Linked DNA regions of Macaca mulatta. The protein of the gene in region 3 interacts with the protein of the main gene of each other region in a pairwise test. Links are inferred from orthologs where the notes say so. Each region holds a gene or a part of one and is shown on either strand. Other genes may lie near its edges.

Evidence for each region.
Region 1: the proteins of GOLGA2 (region 3) and WASHC3 interact in binary tests that used the Homo sapiens proteins (3 or more experiments, as listed by UniProt). The two-hybrid records come from large-scale screens. The link is inferred for Macaca mulatta from reciprocal best matches to the Homo sapiens genes GOLGA2 and WASHC3.
Region 2: the proteins of GOLGA2 (region 3) and NME7 interact in binary tests that used the Homo sapiens proteins (3 or more experiments, as listed by UniProt). The two-hybrid records come from large-scale screens. The link is inferred for Macaca mulatta from reciprocal best matches to the Homo sapiens genes GOLGA2 and NME7.

The regions. Positions count from the first base shown.
Region 1 is NC_133416.1:109,366,278-109,370,024, forward strand, and holds the start of WASHC3 (WASH complex subunit 3), read right to left. Parts: upstream 2,915-3,747; 5' UTR 2,895-2,914; coding exon of another isoform or gene 2,844-2,894; 5' UTR 2,803-2,843; coding exon 2,659-2,802; intron 2,293-2,658; coding exon 2,194-2,292; intron 1-2,193. UniProt on the Homo sapiens protein: Acts as a component of the WASH core complex that functions as a nucleation-promoting factor (NPF) at the surface of endosomes, where it recruits and activates the Arp2/3 complex to induce actin polymerization, playing a key role in the fission of tubules that serve as transport intermediates during endosome sorting.
Region 2 is NC_133406.1:26,870,467-26,874,116, forward strand, and holds the start of NME7 (nucleoside diphosphate kinase homolog 7), read right to left. Parts: upstream 2,943-3,650; 5' UTR 2,856-2,942; coding exon 2,853-2,855; intron 2,677-2,852; exon of another isoform or gene 2,619-2,676; intron 1-2,618. UniProt on the Homo sapiens protein: Possesses an intrinsic kinase activity. Displays 3'-5' exonuclease activity with a preference for single-stranded DNA. Does not seem to have nucleoside diphosphate kinase activity.
Region 3 is NC_133420.1:19,428,850-19,432,596, reverse strand, and holds the end of GOLGA2 (golgin subfamily A member 2), read right to left. Parts: intron 3,612-3,747; coding exon 3,366-3,611; intron 3,282-3,365; coding exon 3,206-3,281; intron 2,782-3,205; coding exon 2,610-2,781; intron 2,444-2,609; coding exon 2,203-2,443; intron 2,116-2,202; coding exon 2,013-2,115; intron 1,931-2,012; coding exon 1,824-1,930; intron 1,747-1,823; coding exon 1,590-1,746; intron 1,503-1,589; coding exon 1,288-1,502; 3' UTR 56-1,287; downstream 1-55. UniProt on the Homo sapiens protein: Peripheral membrane component of the cis-Golgi stack that acts as a membrane skeleton that maintains the structure of the Golgi apparatus, and as a vesicle thether that facilitates vesicle fusion to the Golgi membrane.

The DNA of each region.
Region 1 (3,747 bases), on a different chromosome or scaffold from region 3:
TTCTTCAAGCAGGTCAGTTTTAGGACACATTAATTCTATCCAACTAGACTAGCTATTTTACAACTATGGAAGACAACTTTATAAACTCTGCTTTAACTTACAAAGGTTATTTAATAATCCCATTGTTTTGATGATTCTAAAGATTATAAGTTTATTTTTACAGTCTACTCTTAAATATTACTGTTGAGGCATATATACAGCAATGGTGGACTTAATTCTGCCTAAGATATCTGAGCATCTGTACTAAAATATGAAGCTACCTTCATTTGGTTGGTATGCTAAAGAAATTTTGTAAGTATCTCATTTTTAAAAAATTTGGTTTGTGTGTTCTGTGTGCTCAGGAATTTTTCCACAGTACCAGAGATCACTGTAGTGATTAAATTTGACCCTTTTGACAGAAAACAGAATAATAGATTCCTAGGGATAAAAAAGGGGTGACTGCAAAGGAACATGAGGTAATTTTTGGAGTGATTCTACACCTTGTTCTACAACTATTCTACATCTTGATTATGTTATGATTATGAATTTGTCAAATCTCATACTTAACGGTAAATTTTAGTGAATATAAGCTCATACTTAAATAAACATGACTTTACAATTAAAACAAAAGAAATATGAAGGCTCATAAGAGACTGCTATGACCAATTATATGCCAACAGATTGGATAACCTAGAATGGATAAGTTCCTAGACACATACAACCTATCAAGACTAAATCATAAAGAAATAGGTAATCTGAACAGACCGATAATAAGAGATCAAATCAGTAGTTAAGTCTCCCACTAAACAAAACCCCCCGGACCTGATGGCTTCACTACTGAATTCTACCAAACATTTAAAGAAGAACTAATACAAATCCTTCTCAAATTCTTCCAAAATACTGAAGAGGAGGGAAAATTTTCAAACTCAATTTAGGAGACCAGCATTATCCTGATTCCAAAGCCAAACAAATACACTACAAGAAAAGAAAACCAAAGGTCAATATCTCCAATGAACATAGAAGCAAAAATCCTCTACAAACTCTAATTGCTAAGGCTATACCTTACATAAGGCAGAATGTTCAACAGACTTACTTGTGAATTATCTAAGCCCCATAATTTACTTTTCTTTCCTTAAATGCAATTTCAGCCCATGGTTCCCATTGTCCTCCCCATCTTCTTTTTTGGCTTTTTAAAAGACAGGGAGTCCCTGGATCCTGGATCTTGTACCTATCCCCTTTTTTAAAACAAAAACAAAACACTGAGTTTCTCTATGTTGTCCAGGCTCGTCTCAAACTCCTGGGCACAAGTGATCCTCCTGTCTCTGCCTCCCGAGTAGCTGGGATTACAGGTGCACACTACTGTGCCAGCTCTGGCACCTGGTCCCTAGTTGGATACTTAATCCTTACAAGTCATTTGCAGAAAATATTTTTATTTCTATAATCATATTTGATGCCAAAGTTATGTTTCCAGCCTATCTCCTCTAGCCATCTTTTAGATTCGGAATGTAAAATAAATTTAATATAAACAATGTGGTTTTGGGGTACGAGAACGAATAACAAATAGCAAAATAAAAACTATTTTGGGGTACGAGAACGAATAACAAATAGCAAAATAAAAACTATTTTCAACTAATTTTAGAAGTTGGGCACGGTGCCTCGGGCCTGTAATCCCAGCACTTTGGGAGGCTGAGGCTGGTAGATCGCCTGAGGTCAGGAGTTCGAGACCAGCCTGACCAACATGGTGAAACCCCCGTCTCTACTAAACACAAAAAATTAGCCAGACATGGTGGCGCATGCCTGTAATCCCAGCCACTCAGGAGGCTGAGACAGGAGAATCGCTTGAACCCGGGAGGCGGAGGTTGCAGTGAGCCGAGATCGCGCCACTGCGCTCTAGCTTGGGTGATAGAGTTAGACTCTGTCTAAAAAAAAAAAAAGAAAAAAAAGAAATTTTAGATTTCCTATTGTTCTCTTTAATCGCAGTAAGCCTGACTGAACTATCTCACAAGGACCTCTAGAACACTAATTCAGTAGAGGAGGGTTGCAAGATTGATTGTAACAGAGTAAAAGAGAACTTAAGGTGTGTTAACACAATTGGGTGACAAGAGGTCATGATACATGAATAAAGACTGTAATTCTTGTTTTACTCCATTTGTCAATCTCAGCAGTGCAAGGTGACTTCTAGGCGACTCTATAAACCAGTATCACAGGACCTACCTCCTCACAAACTGTAGAAAAGCGGTTGAGGAACTGTACAGTGTGCACCACAAATTGGTTTAGAAAAGCCACCGTTCTTTTCTGTTGAATAGCTGGCACCTGTGTTACGTAAAAACAAACATGGTTCATACAGGAGGAACGTACACAGTGCAAACCTTTTCATATTTGGAAATAATCACGAGGCACTTTGCTGTGTGATACGAATTTCTTGAAGGACTGGGAATAGTCATTAACTTGTTTTCCTAAACTGTAGGTGGGGTGTCCGAAGACAACAGAGGTGCATAAAAGTTTGAGAACAGGCTCTAGACTCACTGGGACGAATTTTGGCAGGCAGAAGCAACACACATAAACACACACAAAAACTTGGGGGCTGAAAAAGAGGTAGGGCTAGCTATCACAACCGGCGTCTATCGCCGGCGGCACAGAGACACGAAAGATGGGAAGCGAAAGTTGGGAGATGCACACCGTCTCCTTAATCAGTTCAAGAGGGACCCCATTTGAAGGTGGACTGCGGAGCTCTCCCTCCTGAGGCCGGCAGAAGGGCCCGGGGCCGTGACAGAGTGGGGACCCGGAAGGTGTGGTCTCCCCGGGAAGCTGCGTCTTCCCCATCCTCCTCCCGGTGGAGGAGTTTAGTATCGTCTTTTACAAACCTTGGTCAGGTCTATGCCTGACCCCATGAGAGGAAGCCCGTCCTCATCCATCTCCTCTGCGGGCGGGAGACCCCGAGTTCACCCACAAACCCCTCCCAGATGGGGCCCGACCAACCCGGTAATCGCGTCTCAACTTTCCCCCCAAGTCCCCGCCTCCGGGGCCCTTCCCGCCGGAAGAAAATGCCTCCGCTCACTAATCACTCGGCGACTTCCGGAGAGCCCGCCTCCTCGCTCGGCATTCTGGGATTGGTAGTTTTAGTCCAGATTGTGACGTCAATTTCGCGATGGTGCAAGGATGCAGTTATAGCAGTAAAATCTTAGGAGGCAAACAAAACAAAACAAAGCCAGAAGTTGCGTCCCTTTGAGGTTACCCCTACTTAGTCCTGTCTGTTATATAACGGCTCCGTCATTCCTTGAGCAACAATTTTTTTTTTTTTTTAATCCTAAGTGTCATATATACTCTGCTAGGCTTTTACTGTGAAAACAAAGATTGAGTTTGATTGCTGCATTGGGGAGGTTTATGCTCTGAAGAATGAGAAATAAGACCTACTTCCAAAGGGTGTGTGTGTATATACACACCAGTTCCCAGGCTGGTCTCGAACTCCTGACCTCAAGCGATTCTCCTGCCTCAGCCTCCCAGAGTGCTGGGATTACAGTCGTGAGCCAACCCGCCTGGCCTTCCAAAGGTTTTTAAAACGTGAAATAAAACGTCAACTACTAGAGGTGAGGCACAAACCTACGGAAGTGACTGCCATTTACAGGGAGCATGGAAAAGATGAAGACCAAGTTGGCAGCTTTAAAATGGGGGTCTTGCTGTGTCACCCAGTCTGGTGTGCGGTGAGGATTATAGCTCACCGTAGTCTCAAACCCCTTGGCTCAAATGATCTTCATGCCTTGGCCTCCC
Region 2 (3,650 bases), on a different chromosome or scaffold from region 3:
GGTAAGCAATAACCAGCTACTGGTCCTTGCTTTTCTACAATTTCTTACTATTCAGAAGTCATGTAGCCAGAGGTCACAAGATTTGTAACTTCACCAATTGCTCCTTTAGATAACATCACTATTATAAAACCTAAGATTGGTCTTGATATATTTTTCAGGCTTCTGCATTCTGGCAAACCTCCTGATGCCACCCAGATACATGACTCATACCAAGAAACTGACTCTACTAGTCCTATGACTCTCACCTAGACAACTGACTCAGCACAGGAAGACAGTTTGGAAACACCTATAAATTCATCCCCAACCAATCAGCAGCACCCACTCCCTACCCACCTGCCCACAAAATTATCCCTAAAAACCACAACCTCCAAGCTGTCAGAGAGGTGGATTTTAGAAATATCTCCTATCCTGCCACTCAGCTGCCTTGCCTCCATTAAACTCTTTCTCTGCTGCAACTCCTGCATTCTCGATGTTTGGCCTTTCTGGGAAGCGGGCAAGAAGAACACGTTGGCCTGTAACAGGAGAATAAATAAGAGTTTGGCAAGCAACAAGAGGGTGCAGGTATTCTGTGTAGAAGGAATTGCAAGTGCAAAGTAGAAAGAGGAGGCATACTACCAGTTTGAAGTTGCTTGGTATGTTCAATGAAAAGCAAGTAGCTAAAAGGCAAGATAATTTTTTATAAAAAAAAAAAAAAAAAAAAAAAAAAAGGTATGGAAAAGGAAAGGCAAAAGCTAGACAGAGAAGTGCTTGTTCATGGAGGAATTTGTGTGCCACTCTAGACATTTTACTGTAGGAAATGGGGATTCTAGAGTTTTAAGGAGGTGAGTAAATCAACAGGCTGGGTTTTTAAAAATTCCTTCTTGTGGCAGAGAAAATAATGGATTGGAGAATTTCCAGACCAGACTGTAAAAGTCACTATTAAAATAATCAAGAAATGAGGAGATGACAAACTAAAATTTGATCTAGTGACCAACTGAATATGGGAGAAATAGGAAAGGGAGGAATGTAGGATAACTCTGATTTCTAGTTTAGGTTACAATATAGTAGTAGCAGTATTTAACTTGGTGAAAATAGGAGAAACCAGGAGGAAAGATAGCAAGTTCAGTTTTGGTCATATTAAGTTTGAGGGACCTTTGAGACAGATGTGTCCGGGAAGCAACTGAGTTAGGCATTAGTAGATCTGAGAGAAAAATTGAAATTTAGAAGCAAAATCAAAGGTGTTAATAGAATCCATGTGAGTGGACAAAATCACCCAAGGAAAATGTCTAGACTAAGAAATGAAAGTAATTAAGGAGTGAATTCCAAAGAATGACATTCAAAAACCAGGCACAGCCAGTAAAAGGAATTAATGACTATGAACCTCAGTTGTCACAAACAGACTAAGCAATATAAATTTTGAGAAGTAATTACTGTATTTGGCATTTAAAAGGCCTTTAGAAACTTAAGCAAGAACAACTTTCTTGAAGGCATTAAAGAAGCCAGACAAAAGACTTTTGTCTGTTTGATATAAGTAAAAATAATATCCTTTCAATAAGTTTACTGATAGATAGGAGGACTGGGAAATAACTGGATAAACACAGGATGGATGACATGGTTTTGCTTTATTTAATTTTCATAAGATGTGTGACTTGAGCACTGAGTAGAAGGAACTGAAGAGGAAGAGGCTGAAAGCACAGGAAAGAAAAAAGACAACTGGAAGCGAAATGTAACAGATGGAAGCAAATGAGATCAAAAGCAAAGATGGATGGATTATCCTTTAATATCCCTTTCTCTACACTAGAAATACAAGACTAAAGGCTTGGCAAAAATATAGATCAGTGTGTAGGTTGGGGGCATGAGGTTGAAGAATTGTTATACTCCATCATGTTTAGAAAGGAGAAATGAGAAGGGCAAAAGACAGGGTTTATAAATGGAAGGTTTGAAAATGTCTTTACAGAAAATGGGGCAGGGGAAAACTGGGGTAACCAAAAGGATTGCTGAGTAGTATGAAGAAACAAGGGGTGATGGGTGGGGGCTCTGTTTCTAAATTCGTAGCTATAACTATCTAAAGATCTTTCTATCTTCCAGTCCATTATCCATAAGTGCTTAAAAGACACGATAGTTAAGTGAATTAACTAGAACCCTGGTACTCTCAAACATGTGGGTGAATTAAAATCACCTACAGGTTTATTTAAAATGCAAATACCAAGCCCCATTCCTTTCATTCAGAATTTCCAGGGGTGAAGTCCAAACAGTGAATTGCAGAAGCTCTCCAAGCAATCCCAGGAGAAATTTCTGTTTAAAAAAAAAAAAAAGAAAGAAAAAAAGAAGAAGAAGAAGAAAGAAAAGAAAAGCAAGCACAGACCTAGAAGGTAAGCAACTGGACAGACGAGAGCTGATCCAACATACATCTGTTAATGGCCCTCGTGGGGGCGTGGGGCAGTGCTCTGCCACTCAGAAAAGCAAAAGGACTCCAAGATCTAGGGAGATTCAGATTAGTGTTGAGACAGTCACATACACACCACCCCACACTCTTAATAAAGCGCGTTAATGTGAATCTGTGAGCATGAAAAATGCCACGATGAACAATGAAAACACATAATGTTGTTCAAAACAGGTGATTAGACTCGATGCCTTACCCTGAATTTTCTGTTTCATTACTCTAGAGACTTAGTAGCATCAGTGGAATTCAGGGTGCTGTAAGAAATACGGAGAGCGAGTAAACTGCAGTAACAGCCCATGGGAAGGGGGAAAGAGATAATGAGGAGAAGGTCGGGAGGACAGGACAACTTTAAGTGCCCATCCGCCCGAAGACTTGGAACGCTAAGTAGCTAGGACCCACAGCCGTTATTCTGACATCCCCTGGCACTCACCATTGTCTCAGGATCTCAGCACTAGAAAATAGGTATCGTTGAGACAGGAAGACACCACCACCAACACCATCATCCGGTTACTCAGGCAACAGAGCACCGCCCACTGTCGCACGGTGCGTGGGACGCCACCGCCCCACCTCTTCGTCCTTAGTGGCTGGGAGTAATCTCAGCTGCGTTCATCCAATCGACAGGCCCGCCCCTCCACGCTGTCGCCTGGGGCTACGAGACGCCGTTTTTCTGTTTCCGGCAGTTTTACTTCCGTTTGTTTAACAGCTGGCCCGGAAGTTTAAGTGAATCTGAGGCTTGGGCTCCAAAAGTTGCTGTACAGTATTTTATTTTAAAGTAGACATCTGTCCGCTTTCCACTTACGGAGGCCTTACAGTGTGTGTTCTGTGTTACTTGAGTTTAAACTCACTGCAGAATGTATTTACCCTTCTCTTTTGGAAACGTATTCCGGAAGCGAAACCCTGAGTAATCGGAAGTGGTTAGGAGTGAGAGAGCTCCTGGATATGTGGAGGGCCTGGGCGGGCCGGCTTCTGAATGGAAGAGGTCTGTGAGAAGTTAGCCTGGTGATACCGATCCGAAGAGCCTATGAAGTGAAGTCCCCTGAAATACGGAGAATAAGAATCTTACAGGTAAATCCGAGGACAAGCAGGTATAACTAAGGATGTTGGAAAGGGACGGAGGTCTGGCTGGAGCTTGGTGGCCAGTAGCTTTGGATTTAGGGAACGATTGTTGTTCCGGGAAGGCTTTTTCAGACAGGAATGGAACTTCGGTTTCGACTTCCCGGGACAGCAA
Region 3 (3,747 bases):
GTGGCACAAACTCCAGAACCCAGTGAGAGAAACAGGAACACGCCAGGCGGAGCAGTATGGCTAAATCCATTTATTCCGAAATAAAAAGCAAAATAAACAGGAGTTGCATCACCAGGGTGCCACGACCCCATCCCCGCCTCCTTCCTCTGTCCTATGCTATCAATAAATAAGTTTCCCAGCCCCAAATAATTATTAGAACCTCCTCCCCATGTGCCAGCTCCAACCTCTGCTAGGTATGATACAGGGGGCTGCCCTACCCCTGGAATATACAAAATGTTACACAGATACAATATGTACACTGGGGAAGCGGGGCCACCCCAGCAGCCCGTGCCCTCACCTGGTCTACAGTTAACCCCACTGTCCTGCCTCAGCTGCCTCTCTGTGTAAGAAGATGGGAGCCCCCCTGAGGGAAAAATTGCTTTGGTGAGAGTAAGGAGGCCATCAGGCCTCCTCCAAACAAGTCAATTCTATGAGCCTCTGGCTATTAAATAACAATCATCATCATCCAGAAATTTAAGGAATCAGCCCTGGCCAAGGTGGCAAAGGCTCTACACATTTGTCTCCCCCCATTAGACAGGGGTCTTATTTGCTACTGTAAGAGTAAAGGGGTGACTGGGAAGGGGTGGCAGGGACATGATGGGGGCGGAGCCTCCGGCCCCACTTCTCCAGGCTTTGCTGACAGTGGCCTGCTTTTTAAAATTTTTATCCTGACTTTTTTTTTAATCCCGTGTTTTTTGTTTTTTTTTTTTGAGACAGAGTCTCACTCTGTCGCCCAGGCTGGAGCGCAATGGCGCCATCTCAGCTCACTGCAACCTCCGCCTGCCGGGTTCAAGTGACTCTCCTGCCTCAGCCTCCTGAGTAGCTGGGATTACAGGCACACGCCACCATGCCTGGCTAATTTTTGTATTTTTAGTAGAAACACGGTTTCACCATGTTGACCAGGCTGGTCCTGAACTCCTGACCTCCTGAACTCCCAAAGTGCTGGGATTACAGGTGTGAGCCACTACGCCCAGCCTTTTTTCATAACTTCTATACCATAACTTACCCATAACCTTCTTTATCCCATAACTTCTTTTAATCCCATAACTTTAATTTTTTTTTTAAGTTTAGTGGCCAGCTTTTAGATGACAGTGATCTTCACCTCATCTGCACCTGTCTACCCCCGTTAGACAGGGGTCTATGCTTGCTACTGGAAGGGTAAAGGGGTCACTGAGGGGGTGGTAGGGATATAGTGGGGGCAGGGTCTCCAGCCCCCCTTCTTCAGGCTTTGCTGACAGCGGCCGGCTTTTAGATGACAGTGATCTTCACCTCATCGTTCTCGTCAGCCCGGTAAAAAAAAGGAATGCAGGGGTTGCTGCCCAAGCCTGGGCGCTCCCGGGGGTTCTGCATCTCACGAAGCAGCTGCATGATCTGCTGTGCAGTGGGGTTGTCACGGGGAGAGCCCTCCCTGGCCTCTCCTTGGGCGGCCTCCGCGCTGCCGGTGAGGCTCACCTCGCAAAGATCTTTGGAGAGAGAGAGGCAGGGCTCTGAGCGCCACGCAAGCCCTCCCTTGCTCCTGCCTGCCCACCCCTCCCGAGGGCTCTACTCACCACCCTGCTGGTCGGCAGCCCCAAGCTCCTGGGGGGCTGGGGCCCCTGGAGCGGGCTCATGGGCAGGGTTCTGGGCAGCTGCCAGGAATCTGCCATGCCACTCGCTGCGGTCGCCCACAAGCCGTAAGACCAGCTCCTGCAACTCCAGCAGCTTCACCTGGAGGGAGGGGTGCTAAGCTGCCATGCCTGTGCCCGTGCCCACCTCCACCCCCACAGAGATGTTCCACGCCCTACCTTCATCTCCTCCTTGTCTTGGGCCAGCCTGCTGATATACTCCTCCTTCTCCCGGTGCCGCTCCTTCAGCACTGCCCTCTGACTCTGGTACAGTGCGATGTACTCTCCTGCGGAAGGACAGGGCTCAGATACTGGGTTCCCTCCGACCACTGTGCAGCTCCTCCTGCCGTGCCCTGGCCTCCCACTCACCAATGGTGTCTGTCTCTCCAGACAGCTGGATACAGCGATGTTCCAGTTCCTCTACCCTCTCCTTCAGGTCCGCCTTCTCCTGCATGAGCTCCATAAAGCGGCTCTGGAACCAAAACAATGGAGTCACATCTTGGCAGCGACCAGCCCCGCCCCCACCCTTCTTGACCCATGCCAGGAGAGACTCATTCACCTGCAGCTTCTCCATGGCCCCCTGCAGGGCCCGGTGGGTTTCCCCACACACAGAATCGCCCCCAGTCCCTGGGGCCGGGGCTGCCACCTCAGGCTCCTTCTGGGCCAAGGCCAGCAGGTGAGCCAGGCGCCGGCAGCGCACCCTTTGCTCCTTCAGCTGCCCACGTAGCCTTGCCTGCTCCTCCTCGGCACTGGCTACAGCTGAGTTGAAAAATGCCACCTGCAGGCAAGAGAGGTGCGTTCTTGTAGGAGGATATATAGGACGAACAGGCAGGGAGGTAGAGAGCAGCCCTTCCCTTGGGGCCTCAGAGGCTGCACTTGTTGGTCCCAGGTGAAATGGGCGTCTGACCACTGGCTCCCAGGAAAGCGGTGAGTCTGAATAAATCAGAAGGCCGGGAAACCAAGAGCAGAAGGGGGTCTGGGAGGGACCACAGAGGGAGACAGCAAAGGCCAGGGAGGGGAGTCAGCCTTACCATGGCTTCCCGGCTCTCCAGGTCCTCCGGGATGCTTGGCATGGGCCGAGGCGCCGCCTCCACCTCCTCCTCCTCTTCTTCCTCCTCCTCCCTGTCCAGTCCATCTCCTGTGGGGGTGGCCAGAGGGGTCATCAGACAACCCAACAAGGGTACAGTGTGCCCACCTCTGCCCCCACCCTCACTGTGTAACCCTGGGCCAGCCCCTCCCCAGAAGGGAATGAGCAGCTTTTTATTTTATTCTTTTTTAAGAGCCAAGAGCTCGCTATGCTGCCCAGGTGCAGTCCCACTACCGATCAGCATGGGAGTTCTGACCTGCTTCATTTCTGACCTGGGCCAGTTCACCCATCCTTAGGCAACCTGCTAGTCCCCTGCTCCCAGGAAGTCACCATAATGATGCCGAACTTAGTGTGGACACCCAGTTGGCATAATGACCAGCTGTTCTAAAGGTCTCTTCCAACTCAATTCCACACTGCTAACAGTCCCCCCTTCCTCCTGGGGCTCTCTCCTCTTCCTGTGAGCAGGTTCCCGTACCTTCCCCAGGATGAGCCATGAGGCTCAATTGGGACCGTAGCTGCTGGTTCTGCTGGGTGACAGATTCCAGGCGCTCCTAAGGGGCCAAGAAAGAGAGTGAGACGGCATGGAGGTTGCCAGGTCATCCCCCTCGGGGCCCTGCCCTCAGCAACTCCCTCACCTGGGCTTCCTGCAACTCTTGGCGGGCCATCTCGGCTACCGCTTTGCCCTGAGCTTCCTGCTGCTGCAGCTGGTCCACGAGCTGGGTCTGCAGCAGTAACTGGTTGTGCAGCACCTCCTTCTCAGAGGTTAGCTGCTGATAGGTGGCCACCTGCTGCTGATAGGCGGCCACATACTGCTGCAGGTGTCCCAGGTACTGGTCTCGCTGCTGCTGTAGACTCTGAGCCTCTTGGCTCTTCAGCTCCACCTGTAGGAAGACCCTAGGCGTGAGGGCAGGTGGTGGCCTGCTTTCAGATTTGGGGCCCATAAATAGGGTAGCGAGGGCTCTGTGAGGCTCTGTTGCCTGCCCAGACCTCTGGCCCCTTGCTCCAGGCCTAAGTGAC